Cricetulus griseus: one gene and its partner. The protein of the gene in region 1 purifies or fractionates together with the protein of each later gene. This does not show direct contact. Links are inferred from orthologs where the notes say so. Each region holds a gene or a part of one and is shown in the gene's direction. Other genes may lie near its edges.

Region 1 (3,318 bases):
GTGTCTGGTTTCTGATATGTAATTCAATTCCTTTTTAGGCATTGGTGTTCCCATTATGTTAGCTTATGTTTATGGTGTTGTTCCAATCTCCCTCTGCCGAAGTGGGGGTTGTGGAGTTTCAGCAGGCAATGGGAAAGGAGTCAGAATTGAATTTGATGACGAAAATGACATAAATGTTGGTGGAACTAACACAGCTATAGGTGAGTCCTTTAAACATGGGAAGAAATGTGTGCATTAAGCCCTACTGTCCTCCTTTTACTAGGCCTTTTTGTGTTCTTACTGTCTCACACCCCTCCCCCCCCCCTTCTCTTTCCTCTCTGAGACAGGGTCTCACTGTGTAGCCTTGGCTGGCCTGAACTCAGTGTGTAGACGAGGCTCACTCTGCCTCAGATGTGCTGAGATCAGAGGTGAATGTCTGACAGCCTCGTAGTTTTAATCCAGAAGCATAGCTGTGAAAGGAACTGTGACGGTCAGACATGTGTGACAGAGGAGGGGTGGCTGTGGGTGCTCACCTCTTACAAGAATACATTTAGGAGTTAGAGCCTTTTCATACAGTGTTTCACTCCATACGTAATGAAGTCTGAAAAGGATGTGAAGAGCATTGCAGTTAAAAGAATTGCAAATGGTCAATAAATGAAAAACTTCTGTATCACTCAAAGAAGTACAAGTTAGAACTGTAGTGGGCAGGAATCTCCACGACTAGAGGCTTTATTCACACACCGGCAGTAGGAGTGTCAGCTTGCTGAAATAGTGCTTGTCCTGTACCCAGTGGTTTTAATCACAAGTGTGTGTCTCAGGGCAGTGTCTAAGAACGAAGCCCTTTGGTGCCCTCTGTGCACCTTCTATGAAATCTCTCGTGTGTCTCCTTGGGGAGCGTGTCTGGTCCTTGCTCTCACAGTCTGCCCTGACTGTCTTACACCACCTCTTCTTGAAGGTGACAGTTAATACTCCGCTTTCTGGGCTTTTAAACGTGTGGTTACCCCTGCCTGGAATGCTCATTTTATGACTCGTGTGGCTCGAGGGAGGCCTTCCTTGGCCATGTTGTAAAGCGGTGTCCAGGGATGACATACGCACTATAGTCACTCCCCTGTCTTGCTTGGTCACATGATTGAATATGTAATAGGAACTCAGATACTGGCGTAAGTAAGTGAATAGTACTGTAAAATTAGAATATAATCCTATAGCATCTTGTAATAGTTTATAGACAATTAGAACTACGTCTAGAAATCAGCTTTTGTCCGTTTTGTCTTATTGATCTAGAGAACAGGATCTCTCACTGGAACCAAGTCTGTCGAGGGAGGTCTTCTAAATCATTTGTTCAAATCCCTGAATCTTCTGGACTTAGCAACAACAAATACTGACCATCTTAAATTTAGGGCCAGTCTCAGATTGAGCAGTACACCCTGAAATGGCTCTCTGTATGCCTAACCATGAGTGTGATATGTACTTTGTGTGATCTAATATCCTTTCTGAAATCATGTAGGAGTTTAAGGCAGGAAAATGAGTAATCATTCTCTCTTCATTTCTTGAATCATTTTACATTTAGATACAACATCAGTAGCAGAAGCCAGGCACAACCCGAGCATAGGAGAGGGGAGCGTTGGTGGTCTGACTGGCAGCTTGAGTGCAAGTGGAAGTCACATGGACCGAATAGGCACCATGAGAGACAACCTGAGTGAGACAGCCAGCACCATGGCCTTAGCTGGAGCTAGCATAACGGGAAGTCTGTCAGGAAGCGCCATGGTGAACTGTTTCAACAGGTAAGAAATAGCTGCTTGTTTTGGTTTGTTAACAAGACCTTAGTTAGATGAAAAATATGAATGCAAAGCATGCATGATAACTACCCAAAGGTTAAAAGTACTGTGTTTGGTACTTGTGTTGTAATAAAAACTTAAGCCCTGAGAAATAACTACACTTGATGAAGTTGATTTGATCAAGGATCTGCATTTGTGTTCACTAGAGTAAAGGCCATGCTTAGCGTCGACCTTGCTTGTTTACTGATACCGTGGAGATGAGGAGGAGAAGTCAACATTTATCTTACTGCGTCATTTTTCTTATTCACTGTTGTGTGTGTTAGCTCTTTTGTGGAGAGGGTAGATGAATTAAAAGTCGTATTTATCTTATTTCAGGTAGCTGGACAGAAACTACGTTGTAATTTGGTATATGTTGTTACCTCTTATTACAAAATCAGATGTAGGCTGAAGTTGTTGAGCAGAACCCTTTTTAGTATAGGATTTATTTTCATTATTTGAGATAGAGTGTGACTTGTACTTTGTGTAATCTAATATCCTTTCTGAAATCATGTAGGAGTTTAAAGCAGGAAATTGCTTAATTTCTGGAATTATTTCACAGTTAGATACAATATCAGTAGCAGAAGCCAGGCACAACCCGAGCATAGGAGAGGGGAGTGCTGGTGGTCTGACCGGCAGCTGGGATGCTGCAAGCCCTGGCTAGCCTGGAACTCACCATACAGGCCAGGCAGCCTGCCTCTATCTCCTGAGGGCTGAGATAAAAGGCATTTGCCACTACACCCAGTTAACAGAGGGATTTTTATTTATTAATGGATCTATCATGTTTATTGATTAATACACTCTGACTTTGTATTTTGTCCTGAGCATGACAGAGGACTGCATCCTAGTGAAAATACCGTGGAGACCATTCAGATCTGTTTCCTTTTGATCTTCCTTTGGGTAGTGTTCTCTTGAGTCCTCTTGGGTGTTGTTCAGTACCCCACAGTTTAATCTGGATAATAAAAGAAGTGGGAACTGAAAAACTACAGTGCCTAAAATAGATTTTCATTACCAAAGTTTCTCACTGAATTATTTAAAGATATGTACTGTGATTGCGGAACTATAAGTGATTGGGTGCGTGTGTGATGCCCTCCTCTTTAAGGCTGGAGATTCAAGCAGATGTTCAGAAAGAACGGTGCAGTCTCAGTGGAGAGTCCGGCACCGTGAGCTTGGGAACAGTGAGTGATAATGCCAGCACCAAAGCCATGGCCGGATCCATTCTCAACTCCTGCATCCCTCTGGACAGGTGAGGAGGACTCCCCTGTAAAAATAGAAGTGTTTTAATTCACTCAAAAGGAATGATCCCGCCCACTGGGCACAGTCTCCAAGAAAACAGCGAGATGTTGAAAGGCGCAAACCCATCCAGGTAGGAAGTCCATGCCCACAACAGAAAAGCAGTAAATGTCCCTGGTACTATTTTAAAACTTGAAGCCTGAAGAGGCTGGAGAGAAGGCTCAGTAGTTAAGCACTGGTTCCTTGTCCAGAAGACCTGGGTTCAGTTCTGTACGAACACTGTGTGGCTCACATC
Region 2 (4,077 bases), on another chromosome or scaffold:
CTTTCTGAACAGCTCTGACGACATAAGAAAATATACTGTTGATGCCCCCTTTTTTTTGAAAGTCACAAAAGCAATTGTACCCTTTGCTCATTCCATAACATTTTAGAAACATTTCCCTTGAAACACTATGTTTCACCTGTTGCACAGAGGTATCGAAAATGACTTCCTCAGACATCGAGTCCTTCAGGGCATGGCTTAAAGCCAGAGTAAGGCACAGGCGATCCCTGACAGCTACTCTGTTGCCATTTTGGTATCTTTAAGTAGAGACCTGTCAAATTGGCAAGAGAATACAGAATTTAGCTGGGAATGGTGGGGCAGACAAGCAATCCTAGTTATTGGAGATACTGAGGCAGCAAGATCTCAAATTCAAGTTCAATGCCTGTCTAAAAAAGTAAAAAGACGGAGAGGGGGAGTTGGCGTAGCCCTTTAATCCCAGCACTGGGGAGGCTGAGGCAGGCGGATCTCTGTGAGTTGGAGGCCAGCCCGCTCTACAGAGCGAGTTCCAGGACAGCCAGGACTTTAACCCCAGGAACTGAGAGGTAGGGAGAGGCAGACAGATCTCTGCGAGTTTGAAGCGAGCCTGGTCTACACAGTGAGTTCCCATACAGCATGGGATATATGCTGAGATCCTGTCTAAAAAAAAATAAGGTAAAAAGAGGGATGGTCCTCAGCGGTAAAGCCCTTGTCTGTCACGTGGGAGGTCTTTGGTCCAATCCCCAGTACGAGGAAAACAAGTAAAAACACAAGAAGTATCGTGGCGCGTGCCAAGGACTTGGACTAACTGCAGCGAGAAAAAGGGCGCGGATGGAGACAGGGCCTGGCAGGGCTTTGCACATTTAACCCTCATGAGGGAATAAAGCCAGGGCGCGAGCATCGAGCATCCACCCCGGCGCATCCCGACTCTGGAGAGGCCACCTGGGCGCGCTCACCCAAGTCCCTGGCGCCCGGCGTTTCCTGGCCGAGCGGCTTCCGTCCTCCAGGGCGTTTCCACGGCGACGGCACGGCCGGCCCCTTGAGGAGACAAGGGCCGCTTTCCCGCGCCGCCCCCTCTCTGGAACTTTCCGACCCGCCGCGCGCGCGCTCTAGAAGCCGGCGCCACCCTCAGCCCCGCCCCCCAGCGTGCCCCGCGTCGCAGGAGCTCCACGGAGGGTGGGCGGAGCCCGCGGGCGGCGATTGGTCCGGTGCCAGGATGGGCGTGGCCAGGCTCGGACGTATAAAAGGGCGGCGACGGCGGCGAGGCCGAAGTTTGCGCCGGCGTTTCCTGCGCTGCGTTCTGTGTGTCTCCTCGTTTTCCTCGCCGTCCTCCGGTTCCCGAGGCCGCCGCGCGTCTCCTCGCGAAGCATGGCGACGAAGGCCGTGTGCGTGCTGAAGGGCGACGGCCCGGTGCAGGGCACCATCCACTTCGAGCAGAAGGCAAGGCCCAGGGCGCGGCGGGGCGCAGGCCGCGGGGACGCCGCCGCGCACCTGCGAGGGAGCCCGCCACGCCCCGCCGCGGCCTGCGAGCCGCTAGGTGCTGAGTCACCGCGGCCGCGGGCAGGGGCTGGGCGCGGGGGAGGAGGCCGGGGAGCCGCGGGACCTCCCGGGCGGGCCCCTTTCCGCGCCCCGGAGCGTCCAGGCCCGCCCGGGCCGCAGGGCCGTCCGGGCATCCGCTGTCCCTCCCGCCGCGGCTGCCGCTTTTCCGGTGTCCCTGCCCCACGGGCTCGGCCCTGTGCCCAGAGGCCGCGTCTGTCTTGAAGAGGGTGGTGACGAGCGGGGCCAGCGCGGCTCAGGACGCCAGTGTGGCTTTCTGAAGCCGCGTCCCGGGCTGCTGAGCACTAGGTCAGGGCCGCGCCGCGCCGCGCCGCGAGGGGGAGAGCCGGAGAGCCGGCCTTGGGCAGTCGTCCACTGCCTCTCTGATTTCTCTCCGAGCCCCAGGCAGAGGCCCGGGCATCGGTGCTTTTAGGGCAGCACGTTTCTGCGCGCATTCGGAGGAGTAGGGAGAAATATTTGCGAAAGAAATATTGTCGGTAATGACTGCAGAAACAAACGCATGCGTCACAGGGAGGATATTCGTGGTCAGATCGTGTCCAGAGCCCAGAGCAGCATCCCGTCTGCAGGGAAATTTTGTCATCCCGAGCTTAGTCCCGAGAGAGTATTTGGTAAATGGAGTGTGGACGTGCGCTCTAGAATGCTTTGCGTAGACAAGAGAAGACAGACCCCGAAGTGAACGCGTGTCTTCCCCCGATGCGAGGGAGAGCTGATAGCGTGAATTGGGTTTTCCTAAACCTGTCTCGGTTTCAGCAGTTGCTTTGGCATTTGAATGCATTTTGCTCCCTCTCTGTGTAAGTTTTTGTTTTTGTCTCTTTTTCTTTCCCCCTCCTCCACACGAAATTCACCACTGTGAGGAAGGGCTTCTTTCCCTTCCATGAGCAAGGTGAACTAGCTAAAGGTCCACCCCCGAGTCCAGCCGGGTTCCTGTCGCCGTCCACCAAAGCAGCTCACAGGAACTTCGTATTGCTGGTGCCCTTTGTACCCGCTGAAGACCAGACCCTTAGATAGTTAAACATTCCAGATTGGCACTTGCAGTAACTTGGCTACCAATGCTGTTTGATTTAGCCTGTTGCCAAATTTTTCAAGTCAAAAATTTCTACCCAAAGTCCCTTCTTTTGTTGAAAAAGTTGGAGATTTAAAAACATGATAAAAAGAAAGGCCTCAGCCTATGTGTTCCTGATTGCAGTTGCTTCTTGATTCTCTCTGTTGTTACAATCTCTCTGGGGCTATACTAATTTGAGTTTTGGATGTAACGTTACAGCAAAGTTAACCGTCACCACACTCCTGAATGGTGGCTGGTGACACTGCCTTTGTTTCAATACTATCTGTAGTTTGTTATTGTTCTTTTTGGTAAAGTGGCAAGTTCTCTAGGTTTGAATGTCTAATAAGTTTTTTTTTTTTTTTAAGTAACTCTGGTCAGACCCAGATGGATCCCCTGAGGCAGTAGGACATGATACTTCCTGGCTACTAAATAAAAATAAGAGAACTGATAGGAACTGATGAGTATCCCTGAGTGCTGAGTGGAGAGCAAGGATCCTGGGGTGGCCCCCTTAATTTTGTTGTTCTGCTGGTAGCTTTTGAAATGCTGTTCTGCCCAGGAGCTTGCTTGCCCACATGGCGTCTGGTAGCAAGTGTTACAAGAAGACTGACAGGGAGAGAGACCTAGAGCTAAGCAGCTGGAGAGTCAACTTGTAGGGTGTGGGTGGGTACACCTGGATTTGGACAGTTTGTTTGTTTGGGGGTGGGGGGTGTGCCTTTTACTGCAAAGGGTAAAGGTGTAAACTAGCAATTTCCTTTGCAAATGTTGAAGCATTTGCGATCAAACTTGATGCCTTAATTTTTTTTTTTTTTTTTTTAAATAAAGGGAAGTGGTGAACCAGTTGTGGTCTCAGGACAGATAACAGGACTGACTGAAGGCCAGCATGGGTTCCATGTGCATCAGTTTGGGGATAATACACAAGGTAGGTCTTGTGCTGTGTAGTGACCATCTATACCTGGCTGACCAATGAAGCACGTGGACCCAGTCAAAACTCAATTGCTAATGATTAAAAAATTAAGAGTTTTTTTACTTTTTAAAGAAATTAAGTTAAAATAACCGCTTAGGTCACCTTGAGGAAAGTAGCCACAAAAAGTAGTGTTTGATTCATTAAGTGTGGGAAGGGGAAGGAGTTGGTGCTTTATTGTGATAATGTCTTAACTTTAAAACACAGAAACAAAAAATTAAAGTCCTGCTGATTTTGAGTAATTCTTTGAGGTGCTTGGCACTGGGGGGTGAGGGTGGGTGTTTCAGGCACAGTGTCGGGGAAAGCTCCAAGCCTTGCAATGAGAGTCACAGTGGGGCAGAGTGCTGAGAACTGAAGGTACAGCTTAGGAGGAAGGTCAGTGTCTCAGTGGGCTTAGGATCAAGTCAGCAAGAAGTGGGCGGAGGGAGGGGTGTCCCTCCCTTCTCTTCTGTCCTCTCTGGCTCTTTACCTCTTTTCTCTTTCCCTCCCCTTTCTAATAAAACCTTTCACTTAAGTGGTGGTGGATTAGATTGCATTTAGTGGT

The links. The genes of interacting proteins can lie anywhere in the genome.
Region 2: the proteins of Rnf19a (region 1) and Sod1 purify together in Homo sapiens (affinity purification with western blotting, with the first as the bait; 3 studies listed by BioGRID). This does not show direct contact. The link is inferred for Cricetulus griseus from reciprocal best matches to the Homo sapiens genes RNF19A and SOD1.

The regions. Positions count from the first base shown.
Region 1 is NC_048603.1:15,215,441-15,218,758, forward strand, and holds part of Rnf19a (E3 ubiquitin-protein ligase RNF19A), read left to right. Parts: intron 1-38; coding exon 39-200; intron 201-1,546; coding exon 1,547-1,760; intron 1,761-2,892; coding exon 2,893-3,036; intron 3,037-3,318. UniProt on the Homo sapiens protein: E3 ubiquitin-protein ligase which accepts ubiquitin from E2 ubiquitin-conjugating enzymes UBE2L3 and UBE2L6 in the form of a thioester and then directly transfers the ubiquitin to targeted substrates, such as SNCAIP or CASR.
Region 2 is NC_048597.1:7,466,138-7,470,214, reverse strand, and holds the start of Sod1 (superoxide dismutase [Cu-Zn]), read left to right. Parts: upstream 1-1,236; 5' UTR 1,237-1,341; coding exon 1,342-1,413; intron 1,414-3,394; coding exon 3,395-3,491; intron 3,492-4,077. UniProt on the Homo sapiens protein: Destroys radicals which are normally produced within the cells and which are toxic to biological systems.